3 linked regions of the Diceros bicornis minor genome follow. The protein of the gene in region 1 purifies or fractionates together with the protein of each later gene. This does not show direct contact. Links are inferred from orthologs where the notes say so. Each region holds a gene or a part of one and is shown in the gene's direction. Other genes may lie near its edges.

Region 1 (6,222 bases):
GCAGGTCAGTGTGGGAACAGCGGCCTCCTTTGCGCCCTCTGCACCACACCCATCCTGCTCTCCCCAGACACCCACTGCAGGGGGCTGTGGCCAGGAGGGGGACGTGCGGACAAGCGGGGGTGAGGCTCTGGCATAAGAAGGAATGGGGTCCAGAACAGTGAGGCTGTGGCCCAGGTCAGAGGGTGCCACCTGCTCAGCCTTCCTGGTCTCGTTGGAGGAACAGGGTGACACTCCTTGTGAGAATATGGAAAAGAGGAGGCTGCTTATTCAATGAGCCCAGGCTAATTAGACTTCAACAATACACCTTCCTTAAGAAACGTGGCCCACCCGGGGTCTCTGATGACACATTTCCTGGTGGCCACGGTGAGTAACAAGCCCTGTGCTACTTTCTCAGAAGCCGTGGTGCCCCTGTGGCCCCAATGCCTCCATCAGGAGGCCTGCAGGGCGACCCAGTCCATCACCTCAGAGGGCCCCAGCCCTATCATCAGGGGGGACCCTCAAGCTGTGACCCAGGGCCTCTAGCCAATCAGATGTGTCCAGATGATGGTATCAGGAGTGGTGACTGGCCAATGGAAAGGTGGAGAACAGAGAGGTGAGTCAAGTCTTGTTGGAAGGTGGAGGCCGGTCGACTTTCATCAGATGGAAGAATCTGGGCTGTGAGGTCGGGTCCCTGCAACAGCCACGTGAAGAAGGAGCCAGGGGAACAGTCAGTCCCACGTCCGGCCCAACCCTCAGGCCCAACTGGGGCTCACTCGGCTGAGAACCACCCAGCCCGTGAGGAAGGCAGCACTGTTTCTAGAACAGGCAACAAGCTTTATGTGATCCTCCAAAAGTCAGAATTAAGTAGAGAGAAGATGATGCAAGGTCAAGTCCACTTTTTGTTGTGGTAACGGGTTCACGGGTGGTAGCTACGTGGGAACTCCTTAAACTGCACAAAAATAGCTGAGGTTCTGCTGTATGTCAATTATACCTCATTAAAGTTGTAAAAAAATCAGGGGCTGGCCTTGTGGCTTAGCGGTTAAGCGCGCGCGCTCTGCTACTGGCGGCCCGGGTTTGGGTCCGGCGTGCACCGACGCACCGCTTCTCCGGCCATACTGAGGCCGTGTCCCACATACAGCAACTAGGAGGATGTGCAGCTATGACGTACAACTACCTACTGGGGCTTTGGGGGGAAAAAGGAGGAGGACTGGCAATGGATGTTGGCTCAGAGCCGGTCTTCTTCAGCAAAAAGAGGAGGATTGGCACGGATGTCAGCTCAGGGCTGATCCTCCTCACAAAAAAAAAAAAAAGTTGTAAAACAATCAGACTCATAGTTTTACACTTTGGAAAGTTATGTCGGATTAGCCTCGAGATCCTAAATTCAAATGCACACTTAATAAAGGATTGAGGTTTGTGATTTTAAGCAGAAAGATAGGAAGATTAATTTGTTGAGAACTCAGAATTCTGAAAACTCAAGATTCAGCACATTTTTACATTTGATTTCATTACATGTGTAAAGATTCACTCGTTCACACGCAAGAGTCCTCTGCACCTTTCACGGGCAGGTTCCACGGTGAACATTTTAGTGAGGGAGAGAGACCACAACAATAGCGAGTAAGTAAACTATATGGTTATTAGAAGGTAAAAAGTGCTGTGGGGAGAAGCAGCAAGGGAGCAGGTGGTCAGGGGGGCCCCACCTCGGGGGTAACATTTAAGCAAAGACGGGAAGGAGGTGAAGGAAGTGAACCATGCAGATGTGGGGCGTGGGAGCATTCCAGGAAGAGGGGAAGCAGTGCAAGGGCCCTGGGGCAAGAGTGTGCCTGGCACCCCCTAAGCACAGCAAGGAGGCCAGTGTGTTGGAGCCAAGCCCTTCAGGGGAGGAGGGAGGGACAGGAGAGGAGAGGCGAGGGCAAGCGAAGTGGCCAGAGGCCGCTGTGTTGTGGCAAGCTTAAGCTCCTTCTGTCACTCTGAGGGTGATGGGAAGCCATGGGGATGGAAGGTTTTGTGTAGATCACTCTGGCTGCTGGTCAATAACAGATTATGGGAGTGGGGCAGGATAGAAGCAAGACCCCTAGGATGTATCTGCAGTGGCCCAGGTGAGAGAGGGTGGTGCCCTGGACCAGGGCGTACAGGTGTAAGTGGTGAGAACTGTGCACGTTCTTGGGAAGGTTTTTTGCTGTTGCTGCTGTTCTTAGTTGAAGCGCTTATAAATAAAATCAGGGGGCTGGCCCCGTGGCGTAGCAGTCAAGCGTCCCGTATAAAGTGGAGGAAGATGGGCACAGTTGTTAGCTCAGGGCCAGTCTTCCTCAGCAAAAACAGGAGGATTGGCGTGGATGTTGGCTCAAGACTGATCTTCCTCACAAAAAAAATAAAATAAAATCAAGTATATTAAACATTATAGATGTTGTTTTAAAAGTTGAAGGAAGTTTAAATTAGTTTGTAAATGAGACCAAATATTAACCAAAGGCCCCTTTATAAGTGACTGTTGTAATTTCATAAATAGAATATTAACATTTGTGACTAGAACTTATATATTTTGTGGCCATGTTATTAGGTGCCTACAAGTTTAAATTTATTTCATTTTACAGTGAATCCAAGCTTTTATTATTCTGTATCTCTGGAAACGCTTTGCCTATAAGATTTCTTTGTTAATATGCTAATAAAATTGTTAATATGGCCACATCTGTCTCCCTTAGTCAAGATTTGTGTGGTATGTTTCTCGCCATCCTTTTACTTTCAAATCTCCTGTATCTTTATATTTCAGATGATTCTTGTCTTCTATAAGCCATGTAAAATCAGGTTATTTTTAACCAGCCTGATAGTCTTGGCCATTTAGTTTCCCTGGATTTCGAACCTCTGTCCTGCAGAACTGCAAGGGAATAAATATCTGTTGTTTTAAGCCCCCCAGTGTGTGGTGATTTGTTACGGCAGGAGACTAAGACAGGTGCTCCCCAGGTTCTGTGGCTTGCCTCCTTAATAACCGTGCATTTAGTTCTGCCCATCAGAAGCAGGAAGACAGCTGGTAACACAGGAGGAAGTAAATAAAAGAAAATGAAGATCATAGTACCACATGCCAACATCAAGAAATCAAGAGATATATACACCATGTTTAATGTGGCCATCTGGAGGAAATGGGGGATTTTCACATTCTGTTTTCTTTGTTTCAATGAATGTTTGTGGTTTTCTTTTTATAATACCAATATTATTCATGTAAGGAATGAATCAAGATATAAACTTAAAATAATAAAAAAAGGGCTCAGCCCAGTGGCCTAGTGGTTAAGTTCACGCCCTCCACTTCAGCAGCCTGGGGTTCGTGGGTTCAGATCCCGGGTGCGGACCGACACACTGCTCATCAAGCCATGCTGTGGCGGCATCCCACATACAAAATAGAGGAAGGGCACAGATGTTAGCACCGGGACAATCTTCCTCAAGCAAAAACAAACAAACAAACAAACAAATAATAATAATAAAAAGAAAGAAATTTAAAACCCCTTGTTTGGGGGGAGGGTGAGAGGGGTAAAGGGGCACGTGTGTATGGTGAGGGATGGCAACCAGAATCTTGGTGGTGAGCACAATGCAGTCTACACAGAAGTGGAAATGTAATGATGAACACCTGAAATTTATATAATGTTATAAAGCAATGTTACCTCAAAAAAATAAATTAAAAAGATAAAATAAAACCCCCTGTTTGCTTTTTGTGTGTTAACAATTTTGATGCCTTATGAGATTTTGGGGGAGGAGGGAGGTAAAATGGTCAAGATTCATATTTAAAACATTTTGTTTTTTCCACTCTTTTACTTTTTTACTTAAAAATGTATTTACTTTTTATTTTTAGCTAACTTATGACCGTTATGTGCTGTTTGTAATAGTAAAAATTTGGGGACAAACTAAATATTCAATAATATGAGACTGGTTACTAAATCACACTCTAGGCTATAATGGCCTCGCTGGGTTAAGGGATAGTGTCCATGAGTTCATTTTTGTAGAAACAAAAGGTGCATCTTGGGCCGGCCCCGCGGCTTAGCGGTTAAGTGCGCATGCTCCGCTGGCTGGCGGCCCGGATTCAGATCCTGGGTGCGCACCGACACACCACTTCTCCGGCCATGCTGAGGCCGCGTCCCACATACAGCAACTAGAAGGCTGTGCAACTATGACATACAACTATCTTCTGGGGCTTTGGGGGAAAAAATTAATAAATAATTTAAAGAAAAAAGGTGAATTTCTTTCACAGGAAAGCAATCTGAACAAATATTGTCCTAAAGCGATGTGATTACCTCTGAGTAGTTCGGATTGTCACTATTTTCTGTTATTTCTGAACTGACCATGACAATGCTTTCCAAGTTTGCTAATTTTGCAAATTGGTAAATGGAAAGTGAAAGTTTCCAATCTTCAGATCGTGTTATCACGACTTGTCATCCCGTGAAGGACCTGACGTGGTAGGCATTTAGGGGGTTTCCGAAGGCACACCCCTGAGGGGCAGGGATTCGGTCACCATTCTGTTTTGTTTCCTCCACTCACTCTGGGGCTAGCCTTGGGAAAAGGAAACCGAAACTGGAGCGGAATTCGGCCGACACCGCCCCGTGCATGACGTGCTCGCTCAGGCCCATAAAAGGGCTGAGCCCCGAGGGCTGCAGCAAGAGCTGGAAGCCGAGCCCTGCGATTCGCCAGTGCCTGTGGAGGACTCGGCGCCAGAGCCCACAGCCATGGTGAGGGGGCTGACAGGTGGGGGCAGGTGGGCTCTGCACCAGCTGATTTTCCTACCCCTCGTGGGGTCTCCCGGGGGTGGAGCATCTACTGTGTGCCAGGCAAGCAGAGCTGCTCACAGTGCCCCAGGTGCCTCAGCAGGAGGGGAGGGACAGGGCTCCTTCTGTCCTCAGGGTCTGGGTTTTGGAAGGCCGGTTCTGCCCAGTGGCCAACTCTGAAGTCCCTTGGGGCCGGCACAGGGAGCATCTTAGCAGGTGAAGGGAGGCGACATGATGGTCCTGGGTGGCTGGCCATTCTTCTAGAAATGCATTCCTGTGCGTTTCCAGCACCCGGGGTCCCTCTCCTGGTGGGCGGGGAGGACGGCAAGGAGAGAGCAGCGTCTAGGGGCCTTAGGAGTTTGCGCTGTGACTAATGCTGTGCGTGTAGGGGCCCCAAGACTGGTGCCAGGGCCTCTGAGTCTGTGTGATGCCCAAAGGGTCGGGACCTGAAGGTGAAGATGCTGGGAGGTGAGGAGTTCCTGGTGCACCTGACAGACTCCATGCTGGGCTCGGAGCTGAAGCAGCAGATCGCCCAGAAGACCGGAGTGCCCCCCTTCCAGCAGCGCCTGGCCACCCACCCGGCCGGCACGGTGCTGCAAGACAGGGTCCCCCTCGTCAGCCAGGGCCTGCAGCCCGGCAGCACGGTCTTGCTGGTCGTGCAGAACTGCGACGACCCCCTGAGCATCCTGGTGAGGAATGACAGGGGTCGCAGCAGCGCCTATGAGATCCGGCTGACGCAGACGGTGGCGGAGCTCAAGCAGCAGGTGTGCCGGCAGGAGAACGTGCACGCTGACCAGTTCTGGCTGACTTTCGAGGGGAAGCCCATGGAGGACCAGCGCCAGCTGGGGGAGTACGAGCTCACGGCCTGGTGCACGGTGTACATGAACTTGCGCCTGCGGGGGGGCGGGGCAGGGCACCGGGGGCCACGCTGAAGGCCCCCACCTGAGTCCCTGACCAAGTGCCTGTAATAAAAGCTGATGCAACGCTAAATGGCTGCCTCTGCCTGCTCTCGCCCCTTCCCCACACGCCGCAGCATCAGCCAGCCCTCCATTCCACACCCCTGATGATGAGGTTGGGGGAGGGGCGAGGAGGGAGCTGAGTAAAGAGCCCAGGGTCGCTTGGTGGTGATCAGGCTGGGGTTGCCAAGTTAAGGGACAAGCCCTAGTGGAACCTAAATAGTGACACTCCCACTGCCCTCGCCACCCCCCCAGGAATTGAAGATGTATCCCCACACCTTTGGGAAATTAACTTGTAGAGAAACAAAAAGAGGCACATTTGCTGGAGCCCATCCCTGGCCCAGGTGGAGCCCCGGCCAGCCACTGCACCACTGGTCCCCTCCCCCCACGTCCTGGGCAGCAGACAGCACAGGGAAGGGAAGGCCTGGTTCCAAATGCCACAAAGTGAGGTCCCTGCTGGGACCAGCACCCTGGAAGTGGTGAGGGGGTGAGTCCCTAGGGCCCGGCTGGGTGGGTTGTGAGGGAGGCTCGTCTACACCAGCTGG
Region 2 (6,056 bases), on another chromosome or scaffold:
ATCACCAGGCACCTGCCCTTCCTCCTCCAGGGCCCCCTCCAGCTGAAAAGGGCTCTTAGGACACCTAAGACACGAGGGTGCTCCAGCCATAGGGCCTCCCCCCTCCACAGCCACCACGGGGGATGTCACATCTCCAGGTCCTCCCTCACCCCTGCCTCCACTCACCATATACACACCCGCTCCAGCAGCATTAGCAGGCAGAGTGGGCAGTCGGTGCAGGGGACCTGGGGGGGAGGAAGGAGAGTGGAGGAGAAACTGTTGATTCACGGTGCTGGAAGGAGCCTTAGAGAACATCCAGTCCAATGGTCTCATTGTACAGATGAAGAAAATGAGTCACGGGAGCCGGCCGCCAGCCAAGGTCACAGAGTGAGAGACATGCAGATCCCCAGACTCCCAAGCTAGACAGATTCTTTCTGCTGGACAGCGGGGCGGGAGGGGCCAGAGGATGGATCCCCAGCCCTCCCACCTGGCCCCTCCTTGGCCCCCCTTCAGCAGTGATGGGTGCGAAGTGACCCCAAGGCCAGCCAGAAGCCAGAGGCCTAGGGGATAGACTGGAGATGGAAATGGACTCCCTGAGGGGCAGTGTCTAGACGCTTCCAGAAAGACCTGGTGCCCCTCACCCCATGCACTCTAATTACTGCTGCCCACATTTTTAGTTCCCAGCAGGCCCAGCGACTGGTGCAATCCGTCAGCTGTCAGGCCTCTCTGGGGAGCTCGGGCAGTTGCCTGAAGACTCCAGCGCTTTCTCTGAGGCTGGGCCAGCAAGGGAGAGAATGGCTCAGCGCAGTTGGCAAAGAACTGCCGAGGGTGTGGCTATGCGGCCAAGGCCTCAGGCACAGTGCCAGGCTGGGAGGCTGGGAGGCTGGTCTTGGGGCTGCGGCAGAGTACCCCAGACTTTGGGGCTAGGGATGATGGGTGGGCCCTTGTGATTAAGGAATCCCAGACCCTGCAGTGCCCATCTACCTCCAGTCCCCCTGGCTTCTGGGAAATCCCTGGGGGGTGGACTTATCCTCATAATCTCAGAAAAACTACTCCTGGCAGCTCAGTGCCCCAATGCTAGAGTGGAAGATTGTCAAAGAACATCTGGGAAGGTGGGCAAGAGGAGCTGACGTCAGCCTTTGCTTCTCTTTCCAAGCCCTGTGCCTGGGTGCAGGGGTGCAACCTCCTAGAGGAAGGGCACCTGGGCAGAGCTGGAGGGACCCCAGGGAGCCTGGCCCAACCCTCCCCATCCCGACAGGCAACCTTTGGCTGCACACCTCACCCTGCACCCACAGCCCTCCCTGGACGGCCTGGTAAGTCTCTCCAGCACCAGAATCAGGAGACTCACGAGCCTGATAAGATACTTGGACACTCTATATAAAGTGCGTACATCTGGGTAACTTTCATTAGTCTAAGTCTCAACATCTAAACAATGAAAGGCCCTCCTCCCTTAATAAGGATGGACACTTCACTGAGCACCAGGCACTTCACACACGTTATTGCATCTGAGATTCACCGCTGCAAGATGGGCACATTAGTAGTCATGTTTTGCTGATGGGGACCTGTGGGCTCAGAGAGGTCACAGGCCAGTGAACACCAGCACCCAGATTGAAGCCCAGGCTGTCTGACCCCAAAAGCCAGTTTCTCCCACATACCCTACACCCTCTTACCACCACCCAGAGCCACCCTTGTCCCCTCCCTGTGATTGGCAGGGTGATCTAAGAGTCCCTCAAGAACTGCCCCGTTGAAGATGGATGTGAATTCTCAATTCTGCCTCCCCACCCACCGTGGGCAGAGTGCTGTGCGGGTTGCAACTTGGGTTGCACAACTTCCCCTGGCTGGGGCAGTGGGAATAAATCCTCCCTGTCCTGGTTTCAGGCAGATGAAGGGAGCTATGAAGGGAGCTTGTGTCTGCAAAGCGCTGGCAGCCAGCCAGGCAGCCCCACCCAGAGCGTGACTGGGCCTGGCAGGGCCACACTTGAAAGCATCCATGACCACACCGGACAGCTCCCTCTAGGGTGGGACACCTGGGCTCCAGTCTGGGCCAAGGCGGGCAGGCAGGCGTGGACGAGAGCCCTCCAGGCTCCTGACCTCACCCCGACTTTATAGAGCTGGGGAAAGGTGGGGCTGGGAGTGCCAGGGAGTGAAGGCCTAGGGCTTCCTGAAGCTGAGACCCTTGGGGGACGCCCAGTAGCTCCCAACTCAGACCCACTAGCTCATGACATGATCCAGCAAGGGAGGTGGAGCAGAGGGCATGGGTCCTGTCTGCCTCCCACCCTTGGCCCACGAGAGCCCCAGGAGCTCAGAGGCCTTTTCAGAGGTGACCTCAGATTCATGCCCAGCCTCAGCTCTTTTCTGATGGGGAGCAGGTGGGTAAGGAAGAAGAGCATCCAGGAGCTTTCTCTCTTGAAGAGGAAACTGAGGCTCAGAGAGGGCATGAGACTTGGTGCTACCCCCAACTCATCAAGGCGAGTGGCTCAGAGTCTGGCTTCCAGCCCCTCAGGTGTCCTGGGTAGCAAAAGGCCCCCTACAGAACTGGCAGGAGGTCATCCTCAGCCCAGCCCCGGGAGAGGGGCAGCAAGCAAGAAAGAGAGAAACGGCGGGGGGACTCCAAGATGGGAGCCCTCAACAGCAAGAGCCCTGGGCACTAGAGAGGTAAGAGGCTACTCTGCTAGTGTCCCAGTGGAGACAGTGGGCAAGTCACTTAATCTCTTTGAACCTCAGTTTCCTCATCTAAAAAGGAAAGATCATAGGACATAAGTGGGGAGAAATAAGGCTGGACCAGGGTGGTGCATGTGAAGGCAAGAGAGAGGGACCGTCAGGATTACGGCAGGAGCCTGCGGCAGAGCCCTCTCCCAGAGTTGGGAGATGGGGGCCTGGATCCATAAGTGGTCAGAGAGAGAGGAGGTGAGGTCAAGGGGCAGGCCTCAGGCTCCAGGCAGTGTGAGTGGACTGCGCAGCCTGGAGCCCCCTTGCCCTTTGTGCCATGGGAATCATCAACAAAAAAGGGGCTTTGAGATCATAATCTGCAAAAAGGGAAATTGAGGCCTAGAGAAAGGAGGGGCCTTGCTCCGAATCACAAGTAAGTCCATGGCAAAGCCCAGACTACAGTCAAGGTTGTGGCCCTTCAGGTTCCCTGTGCAGGGCTCCTCAAGGAAGGACAGATATGATGGGGAGACTTCACAATAACCTCCTCCTGACCCCCTCTCAGCACTGGGCCTTGGGGTATCTTACCTGGGCCAGCCCCCCTAGGGGGAACAGAGAAAATGGCCAAACCCACACAAGCACTGCCTTTGCAATAGGGGTACATGCACACTCTCCTTCCTCGTCCCTCTATTCAGTTTCAGGTGGACAAAAATAACAATAACTAATCATTATCATGTACCAGGCCCTGGACTGAAGTCTTTACTTGCATTAAGTTGCTGAATCCTCACACCAACCCAATGATGTAAGCATTATTATTATCATCGTCTCCATTTTCCAGATGGAGAAACTAAGGCACCCAGAGTCTAACTCACACAAGTTCCTCCAATTAGTGGCAGAATCAGGATGTGACCTCAGGCAGTCTGGCCTCAGAGCTCACACTCTGAAAACCCCACCAGCCTGCTTCTTAAGACATTCTTTCACAGACACTCGGTGGTTCAAATCCTGGATCTGCCACTTCCTAGTTGTGTGTCCTGGGACAGGCGGCCCAACCTCTCTCAGCTTTGCCCCCTTGGACAAAAGGATAGGACTGCCCACAGTCGGCGGCCCAGCACTTTAGCGCCCAGGCCTGCGAGTGTCCGGCAGTGAGCACTGCACCAGCATCGGTGCTCCAGTCATCTGTTTTCTTGAACAAGAGAAGGTTCCAGATGTGGGCCGGGCCTTCCTCGTCCCGCCCCCACCCCGGTATGCAGAGGGAGGGATGCGGGGGAGGAGCTGCCCCTAGTCCGTCATTGCCTTTAATAGAGACCTGAAACACCGCCTGCTAAAAATACCCGTCTGGAGGCCTATAAAAGCGCTGCGGGGCCGGGCCCAGCACTTCTCCGAGCCGCAGCCAGACGCGCAGAGCCGAGCAAGAATGACCGAGCGCCGCGTGCCCTTCTCGCTCCTGCGGAGCCCCAGCTGGGACCCTTTCCGCGACTGGTACCCGGCCCACAGCCGCCTCTTCGACCAGGCCTTCGGGCTGCCCCGGCTGCCCGAGGAGTGGTCGCAATGGTTCAGCCACGGCGGCTGGCCGGGCTACGTGCGCCCGCTGCCCGGGGCGGCGATCGAGGGCCCCGGCGCGGTGGCCGTGCCCGCCTACAGCCGCGCGCTCAGCCGGCAGCTGAGCAGCGGCGTCTCCGAGATCCGGCAGACCGCCGACCGCTGGCGCGTGTCCCTGGACGTCAACCACTTCGCCCCCGAGGAGCTGACCGTCAAGACCAAGGACGGCGTGGTGGAGATCACCGGTGAGCCCCCCGCCCCGCGGCGACGAAGCTGGCGGCGCGGGGGTTGGACCGTGAGCCAGAGGCCTGGGCAGTGAAAAATTAGCCAAGGACCGAAGGCCAGAGCCCTCGGCTGGGCCTGGCCTCCCCGCCCTGCCCCCTAGCCCGTGCCCCCTGCTCTAGAATGGGGCCTGCGGGGACCTCCTAAGGGCCTTTCGGCCGTAAAAACGCGCTATTAAGGGAAGAAACGCTCCCTTCCAAGGAGACACCCCCACCCCTCCCCCACACCCACCCCCAATGACCAGGTCTCGCAGCGCCCACCCGCGCCTCCCCCCCCCCTCCGCGGTCAGTGTGAAGAGGACGTTGTCGGCTCTGTCCCTGCCCCTAGCTCTGGTCTGCGGAAGGGGCGTGTGCACGAGCCTGGCGCCACGCCCCCACCCCCCCCAAACCCTGAACTGAGCTTTCCAGAAGCTTCTTAGGGCCCGGGACAGTCCGGGGCCCCCAAATTCCGTAGTCATTTTTCCTCCTCCATGAATCCTGGGGGCCATGAATCCCGGCCACCCGGTGGGGCAGGTGGGGCAGGTTTGGACGGGGGCAGGCCTTTGAGGTGGCCTCTCCCCCCAACCTTTGACCTCACTCTCCCCCCAGGCAAGCACGAGGAGAGGCAGGACGAGCATGGCTACATCTCCAGGTGCTTCACTCGAAAATACACGTAAGTCCTGGTGCCAGATTGTGGGGGAGTGGGGAGGGTGCAGTGACAGACTGGTGTGTAACTCTCGGCTTCTCTCTCTGCATGTCCAGGCTGCCCCCAGGTGTGGACCCTACCCTGGTCTCCTCCTCCCTGTCCCCTGAGGGCACTCTCACCGTGGAGGCCCCGATTCCCAAGTCAGCCACCCAGTCGGCGGAGATCACCATCCCTGTCACCTTCGAGGCACGTGCCCAGCTGGGGGGCCCAGAAGCTGGGAAGTCGGAGCAGCCTGGAGCCAAGTAAAGGCCTTAGCCCTGCTGCCTACCCCCCAGTAGCCACCACTGACCATCCCCACCTGCCAATCTGTATACTCTTTTGATACATTCACCTTCTGTTTTTCTCAAATAAAGTTCAAGTCCCTGCCTGCTACTGCCTCAGACCCTGGTGTTTGTGGAGGCCTAGGGGTCAGTGCCATCTGCTGGCTCACACATTCATCATATTTGCTGAGGGCCTGCTGTGTGCCAAGCCCCATGCTGGGCCCTGTGGGTACAGTGGTGTCCATCACAGGGGCAGGTGTGGGAGCGGGGAAACCAGGAGAGGCACCTGGCCCAGGCTTGGGCCCTCAGGGACACCTAGGCTAGGGTCAGGTGAAGGGGGACGGAGCAGGGCTGAGGGAGGGGAGCTTCCTGGGAGCTCAGAGTCCCTTCCTGACTTCATTATTCTTCCAGATTTGAGCAGGACCCTGTAGACGGTATAGGAGGTGTGGCAACTCCAGGTGACTTTCTGAGGGGAGGTTGGCCTAGTCGAAGGACCTGTTCCCGCACACCCGTGCCTGCAGGGTGGGGCCTGGGCTCTCAGGCCAAGGGCGTCCTGCAGAGAGTGAGGGCAATGTGGCCCGGGTTTTGGTGGAAGAGACACAGAGTCCTAACTGGGAAGGCGGTCACTCCAGGAGGGCTGCCTTGACTGTCCCAGGCAGGAACAGT
Region 3 (7,666 bases), on another chromosome or scaffold:
TGTGGACACTGGTGCAAAATTACAACGGAGAAGGCCCCGCCCTGGGGGAAAGATGCAGCTGGGGAGGACATAAATTCATTTTGCAAGTCCTGGTTCTCCATCTCTGTTCCCTTTGGAAAGCAGGCCTCTAAATCTGGAACTTTCAGTCTTCACTCTTTGACGTCCACTCATATCATAACCACGATAGTATCATAAAATTATCATAGCATCCTCATCATCATAATAGCAGTATCAGTTCTCTCGGTAGATACTTACATGCTGAGTGCTATACACATAGTTTCTCATTTATCAGAAACTCCTAGGAGGGATACCTGTAGGTTACAGATAAGGAAACTGAATCAGGGGCAGCCCCAGGTCCCTGCTCTCAATCATGACTACTGCCTTTCTTAGCCCTTCCTTAGTACCCAATCTCTGTCATTCTGTGACCTTAGCCATATGACTACCCCTCTCAGCCTCAGTTTCCTTACCTGTAAAATGGGGATAACAACAACAGGGTTGTTGTGATGATTAAATGAGAAAATGCCAGTACTCAAGAAATGGAAGCTTCTATTATTATTATTTCTACTATTGTTACTGTTATGAATATCCTGACATGCTACTGTAGTAGTGGACCCCAGGATGCCATCACCTGGGACCACTCTCACAGAGCTGGGGTTCCTGAAGTGTGGAGGTAGGTTTCACACATGGGGGTGGGGGTCCTAAGGTCAGAACCCTGGTGAGAGCATCATGGATCTCCAACCTATTAACTGGTTTATTTCAATATCAAGCATATCTCTATACCTGCATTGTCCAATATGAGCCACCAGTAGCCAAAGAAAGCTACTGGGCACTAGCAATGTGCTGAGTCTGAATTGAGATATGCTGTTAAGTATAAGATACATGTCAGATTTCAAACACAGTACCTATATATATATATTTTAAAATATTGATTGTATGTTGAAATTATAGCTTTTTGGATATATTGGGTAGGGTGACCAACTTGATCTGGTTTGCCAGAGACATTCCTGGTTTTAGCACTGAAATGAAAGGCCTGCATCCCAGGATACTCCTAAGTCCTGGGCAAACCAGGACAGTCAGTCACCTTAATATTAGTTAAAATATATTATAATTAATTTCACCTGTTTCTTTTTGCTATTTAAGTGACACAACTGTTAATTGTTATTAGAATATTAAAAATTATAATGTGGCTCTCATTATATTTATACTGGCCAGTCCAGGCTCTTTTAGGTCTTAAACCCCAGACTATCCCCTGTAAGGGGACAGAGATGACAGTTACCCTTCTTCAGCAACTGACCACAGAAAACAGCATCTAAACTTTAGCATAAAACCAGCACTGTGACCGCACAAAAGCTGAGTGAGGGGACTGCAGGATGGGACACGACTTTTCCAAGTCAGAGGGGAGATGAGAGCATTCTTGGAAGAGGAAACTGCCTGAGCAAAGGCACGGAGGTGGGATCAGGGGAACTTTTGCATACTTGCTTGATTAGAAGACCCTCTTGTGATCAGACTCAGACGGGCTGATTTGGCAACTGGTACAACTTTGAGAAGGAGGCTCACAGTGCTTCAACTTCTGCCCAATGTTTATCTTCAAGTTCAGCTGGTCTCTTCCTTGTAGATGTCTGTGCATCTGCTGCTGTCCTGTCAGGTCCTTGCTGACATGGAGGGATTACTGCTCTGCTTATGTTTTCTTGGTCAGTTTATTCTGACCATGATCTCTCAGGGCTGTAGCAGATTGGTATCAACATCTGTGGGGAACAGACATGGAGGGGAGCCATGGCTTCTTATAGAGACAGACTGGAGTCTGGGAAAATGCAGTTAATTCCAGATGTTTCAGGGACTGATTGTGAAGTCTGTTAATTATGCCCAGTTTCCAGCTACATTAACTGAGCACTTATTCTGTGCCAGGCACTATGCTATGAGTTTTGCTTGTGTTATCTAATAACCCTAGGAGTGGAGTAGGTGTGTTATCTGCATCACCTGGATAAGAAAACTGTGGCTTGCAGAGGTTACTTGTTCAAGGTCACAAAGCCAGAACAGCCAGAATTCACACCCAAAGCCTGTGCTTTTTACTTCTGTACACTCTTCCACTCTGGGCAGTTCTACCAAGAGATCAGAGAAACTTAGGACAAAATTTAGGGTATTTGTTAAATGAAAGCCCTATCAGGCAAAACTGTAGAATACGTTAGCTAAAATGCTCCCTGTAGATATGCCTACCTTTAGTTGTTCATCCTCATGTTTTATCAAATATTGATAAAGAGCCATATGAAGACCTTGTTTGCTTCCTCTCCTTGTCTCTGAAGCCAGTGACCCCCCTCCTCCACCGTGGCTGTTGAATCCCCTTCATCCTCACCATAAATGGCTCCTAGAGAACTTGTAGGCTTCTTCTGATTGGATGGATGGACTCATCCTAAGACAGGGATGTCTCAGCTTTGAGTGAAGTAGACTGGATATTCACACACAGAATTTATTTAGTTATTTGTGTCAAGATCTGGTGAAAACAGAACTATCTTATAAGAAAGGGGAACCTGAGCACATTAGCAGCTGCTGATTGTGCTGAGTTGATCACATTAGCTCCAGTCTCACCTAGCAGGGAGGAGGTCCCCTTGGGAGTGAGACACTGCGGATAGTGAGATGAGTTTGGGTGGAGGAAAGCATGAGGAACGAGGAGCCTCGGGCATGGGGGAGGCAAAGGTCACCAACACTGCCTCTACTGAATCTGCTGCTCAGATTGTGTGGACGAAGGCAAGGCCCAGGCTGGGAACAGCATGGGGGCCGTTAGGCATAGTGTAGACTTTGGAGTTAGATCCAGGTTCAAGCCTGGCTTTGTCTAGTCCTTACCAGCTGACCTCCAGCAAATCTCTTCACTTAGTCACTAAGGAAGGGAATGATCCTTCAAATACGGGCTGGGGCCCGGTAATACACTCTCTCCCCCAGGCTGTTTTCAGCATTTCCAGTGAGTGAGACAATCTGTCTGAACAAAGCACTTCAGCATTGCATGCAAATGACCTGTTATGAAAAGTTAAAACCACAAATCTGCTGGCTTCTCCTGGGCAACACCCGGGCTGGAAGCCCTTGACCTCCATCCTGCCCAACCTCTCTTCCCCCAGGAAGACTGCCCACCCTGACCCCCTTCCCCCAAGCCTTCTTGGGCCCAGGGCACGCTGTGCTTCTCTTATAGACTGGATTCCAGTCCTGTTTATGCTGTGTGCCCTGGGCAAGTCACTTAACTCTCAGTTAATTCTTGTCAAACAGGGCCAATAGCAAAGGAACGGCTTAGCACAGCTCTTGGCACAGTGACAGAGCAGGTACTCGGGAGAAGCTAGCTGCTACTCTTATAATCATTCAGCTGTTGACAGCAGAGGTCTGGCCTGGGTCTCCACTGTTTCCCAGCACCTAGCACAGAACCTGGATGAGTACACAACAGGTGCTCAATACATGGTGTTGGTAGGCAGAATAATGATCCCCAAAGATGTTCATATCCTAATTCCCAGGACCTGTGAATATTACTTTACATGGCAAAGGGGAATTAAAGTTACAGATGGATTAAGATTGCTAACCAGCTGATTTTAAAATATTCTGGATTAACCAACTGGGCCAAATGTAATCACAAGGGTTCTTAAAAGAGTTAGAGGAAGATATGACTGGAGAACCAGAGAGATGACAGCGTGAGAAAAACTCAGCCTGACGTTGCTGGCTTTGAAGATGGAGGAAGAGGCCACAGCCAAGGAATGCAGGAAGCTTCTAGAAGTTGGAAAAGGCAAGGATACAGATTCTTCCCTAGAGCCTCCAGAAAGGAATGCATCCTGCCAATACCTGATTTTAGCTCAGTAAGACTCGTGAGGGACAACTAAGCTACAGAACTGCAAGATAATAAATGTGTGTGTTTTTAAGACAAAGTTCTGGTAATTTGTTACAGCAGCATTAGGAAACTAATATACAGCCAATTATTGTTCATTTCTATTACTACTACTAAGCTGTTAGTTGATTTGTATTTTTCTCTCCCATTAGTCTATGAACTCCTCAAGGTTAAGGAATGTTTATTTACCACTGGTTCACAGGCACTAAGAGGGCCTGGTACACCGTAAGCACTCAATAAACGCTATGAACGGTAATAGTATCATCCAAATGAGTTTAGTTAATATAAATAGTAAAATATCCGTTTCCTTCCTCCAGTGCCTAACACAGTGCCTGGCTCACAGCAGAAGTTCAATAAAAACCCTTAATGAACCTATGGGTGAATGAAGTACCCCTCCCTGCCGGCCCCTCCCCCATGACCCACGCCGCCGTCCGCGCCCATTCTGTCAAGCTCCCTACCTCTGCACGTCCCCTCACTCCGGGACCGGGTGACTTTCTCCTTACGCAGCTCTTCTCCCGCCTAGCTTCCTTTTTTCGAGCCCGTGAGCACACAGCGCGGGGACTCGGGACGCCTCGGAAGATGCGGGGCGCAGTGCACACTTCGGCCGGCTGGGGGCGAGCGTGGCCTGGGAACACCCGCCCGAGGGTTGGGACGGGGCGGGGCATCGGGGGCGGGTCGGCTCAGTGCGCAGGCGCGCGGCCAGACGCCTCGCGCGGCCGGAGGCAGGCGGCCGCAGAGCAGCACCGGCCGCGGCTCCGGTAGCAGCGAGTTCGAGCCCCGCGCCCGCTCCGCGTCGGCTCTCGCTCCCCCGGCCCTTGGGTCTCCCGCCGCCAGTCCCCGGCAGCTCGCTGCGCATTGCGCTCTCCCCGCCGCCAGGATGCCGGTAACCGAGAAGGACCTGGCGGAGGACGCGCCGTGGAAGAAGATCCAGCAGAACACGTTCACGCGCTGGTGCAATGAGCACCTCAAGTGCGTGAACAAACGCATCGGGAACCTGCAGACCGACCTGAGCGACGGGCTGCGGCTCATCGCGCTGCTCGAGGTGCTCAGCCAGAAGCGCATGTACCGCAAGTACCACCAGCGGCCCACCTTCCGCCAGATGCAGCTCGAGAACGTGTCCGTGGCACTCGAGTTCTTGGACCGTGAGAGCATCAAGCTCGTGTCCATCGGTGAGTGCCCTGGCCGGGCCAGGCGCGGGCGGTGTACCATCCCGCCCCCGCAGAAGGCTGGGGCTCCCTGCGGCGCGTCCCCCCCCACGCCCGGCAGCCGCGGGCTGGGTGTGGGCTCCGAGGCCGGGGGGCGTCGTCCCCGAGGGAGTGGGGACATAGGGGACCTAGGCCCCCTCCCTGGTGCCGTCCCCTGGCCTGGGACCTCGTGTGATAGCTCCCCGCCGTGTGCCCCGGCAGTGCATCTCTGGGGGTTTGTGGGTTGGGGGCTTGGGTTGGGGCTGCACGGGGACGGTTAGGGCTGTGGTATTTCTCTGTACCTGGGGTGCCCCTGCGGGAGCTGGGGGACTGGAAACCTCTGGTCCGCCGTCCCCGGGATTGGGGCCTTAGTCAGATTCTCTCCAGCGCGCTCGCCCCGCTGCGCCCAGGCCGGTGCGCTTGGCGGCTGCCGAGTGGGCGTTGGCTCGGAGGCCAGGCGGGGGGACCTGGGGAGGTCCTGTTCTCTGAGCCTGGGGCCTCCCCGCCCAGGTGGAGAGGGGGCCCTTGCACCCTCCCCCGCCGTCTCCGGAATGGGTGTGGGCCCCGAGGTAGGAAGGGGAGTCGCGGGGGTGTGTCCTTCTCGCTCCCTCTGCTCCCAGCTCGCCTCTGGCCCGGCGCCGCGGGATGAGCCGCTCTCGCCGCTGAGAGCGTTATAACTGTGAGAAGTTATAACTGAGAGATGGTGGTGGGAATGGTAATTGCCGCCCTGTAGGGAGCCCAGACCAGTGCGCGTTGTGTGCCACAGCCTTCTCAGTTGTGTCTTTACACATCCCGCGAGTTGGGGTGTCGTTAGACCCATTTTACAGACATGGGGGTCCAGAGGGTTAATTGACTTTCCCAAGGTCATGGAATTAGCGAGGGTCCAGCTGAGAATTGAAGGAAGTGGGTGACAATTCAGGGAGACTTTGCCTTCCTCTCCCCGCCCTCCCCACACCAGGGTCTTCCTGAGAGGAGGGAGGGAGTTGGTGTTGGGTTCCTCTCCCCCTGAGTCCGGAGGGAGAATGAGGATGAGGTCCCCACTATGACCTGGGCTGGTTGAGGACTTCCAGGAGGGTCACAAAGCTGCTGAGGGTGTGGGCTGTGACGGTGGGGGCAAGGGGTGTGTCGTGTGAGTGTGTATGTGCACTTGTATGTGTGTAGAGAATGTGTGTACACCTACATTGTGCATGTGAGTTCTGCCAGGTGAGCATCTTGCCAGAGAGGAGCTGGCGCAGGCCTGGGTCTAGCTAGGGTCTCTTCCTGAGGAAACTAGGCCTTATAGTGACTCTCCCTGACTGGAAGAAAGGGTGGTGGGTGTGGCTGCTGGGACTTTCTCCAGCATAAAAGGGGTTTCCTCTAGGCTGAGTCTTCTCATCCTCTCCCTTGCCTTCCCCTACACCTGTCCTGGCAGGTAGGGCTGCTTCCTGCTTCCTGGGCTCAGGCAGCTGCCACCGCCCAGTCAGCCTCCCCATCAAGGGTGGCTTCTCTGCAGAGGGAAGCTGTATGGCATGCTGTTGTCATCTTTTGGGGGCCTATCTCCTGCAAGTGGGGAAGGAGAAGCTTAGAATTCTCCTGGAATTCTTTCCTTTTCAGAAACCAGCTTCCCCTCTGAGGAATCTCAAGGCTGGGCTCAACTTGGATCCCTTCTCCTTTGTTTTAAAAATGTGTATTTATTTAATTAACTGAACAAAGAAACTTAAAGTAAACCAGGAGTATCCAAACATGACATGAAATCTCTTTAAAAAACAAAACAAACAAAAAAACCAAACCACAGCACCAGAAAATCCTGGACTGCCTAATTCACTGTTTACAGAGGCTACAGCTGTATCCAGCATGGCTTGCCATCAGTGCCCTGAACTTGGGGGTCTCATTGTAGACTTTGCCTGGTCCCTAACATTTTTCTGCTTGACTCATGATTTTCATTCCTGAACACACCCAGGCCTTAGTGACTTCCACTGTCCTGACATTCCAGGGTTAGTTTCCCCTTCCCTGGTTACAGGCCTGTGGGCTGTTGGCAGCTTCTTGCTGTGGACCTCTTTCCACCACAAGTTACATTGTTTTATTTTATTTTCTCCTTTTAAATTATTTCTTGGATCATATTCCCCAAAGTGGTATTCCTGGGTCAAAGGATATGACCACATTTATGACTCCTGTCGTTGGCTGCCTGGTTACTCTCCAGAAAAATCTCACAGCAAACAGGTTTTCCAGCCTCTGGAGACTGATGGGAGACTTGCCAAGTGCCAGGACTCCCATGGGGGTAATGACTGAGGCCTCTTCCCTCTGCTCCTGGGGCTGTTCTGGGTAATTGCCCTTCAGAAAAAAGGCACATCCAGCTTGGACTTCAGTTCAAGTATTCAGTGTTTCTGCTGTGTTTGCATGGTGCTGACAATGACACTAGCTCCAATTTGGGGCATCCACTAGGTGTTAAGTGTTTTCTGTTGATCACCTCATTGATTGCCACATTGAATCCTCGAGTTTCACTTTCCTTGTCTATGTAATGATCTGCTTCAGCGAGTCACTGGGCCGGTTGTGGGCTTGCCCCAGTCCTGGCCAAATGCTTAGAAAATGGTTGCCATTATTCTGTGGTTGTTATTAGTATTATTATCTCTATTTAAAGACGGGGAAA

Evidence for each region.
Region 2: the proteins of ISG15 (region 1) and HSPB1 purify together in Homo sapiens (affinity purification with mass spectrometry; 3 studies listed by BioGRID, with this or other methods). This does not show direct contact. The link is inferred for Diceros bicornis minor from reciprocal best matches to the Homo sapiens genes ISG15 and HSPB1.
Region 3: the proteins of ISG15 (region 1) and FLNB purify together in Homo sapiens (affinity purification with mass spectrometry; 3 studies listed by BioGRID and IntAct, with this or other methods). This does not show direct contact. The link is inferred for Diceros bicornis minor from reciprocal best matches to the Homo sapiens genes ISG15 and FLNB.

The regions. Positions count from the first base shown.
Region 1 is NC_080752.1:21,991,644-21,997,865, forward strand, and holds ISG15 (ubiquitin-like protein ISG15), read left to right. Parts: upstream 1-4,554; 5' UTR 4,555-4,682; coding exon 4,683-4,685; intron 4,686-5,158; coding exon 5,159-5,653; 3' UTR 5,654-5,711; downstream 5,712-6,222.
Region 2 is NC_080765.1:3,494,401-3,500,456, forward strand, and holds HSPB1 (heat shock protein beta-1), read left to right. Parts: upstream 1-3,980; 5' UTR 3,981-4,039; coding exon 4,040-4,409; intron 4,410-5,033; coding exon 5,034-5,097; intron 5,098-5,186; coding exon 5,187-5,376; 3' UTR 5,377-5,500; downstream 5,501-6,056. UniProt on the Homo sapiens protein: Small heat shock protein which functions as a molecular chaperone probably maintaining denatured proteins in a folding-competent state. Plays a role in stress resistance and actin organization.
Region 3 is NC_080741.1:57,958,688-57,966,353, forward strand, and holds the start of FLNB (filamin-B), read left to right. Parts: upstream 1-4,604; 5' UTR 4,605-4,733; coding exon 4,734-5,025; intron 5,026-7,666. UniProt on the Homo sapiens protein: Connects cell membrane constituents to the actin cytoskeleton. May promote orthogonal branching of actin filaments and links actin filaments to membrane glycoproteins. Anchors various transmembrane proteins to the actin cytoskeleton.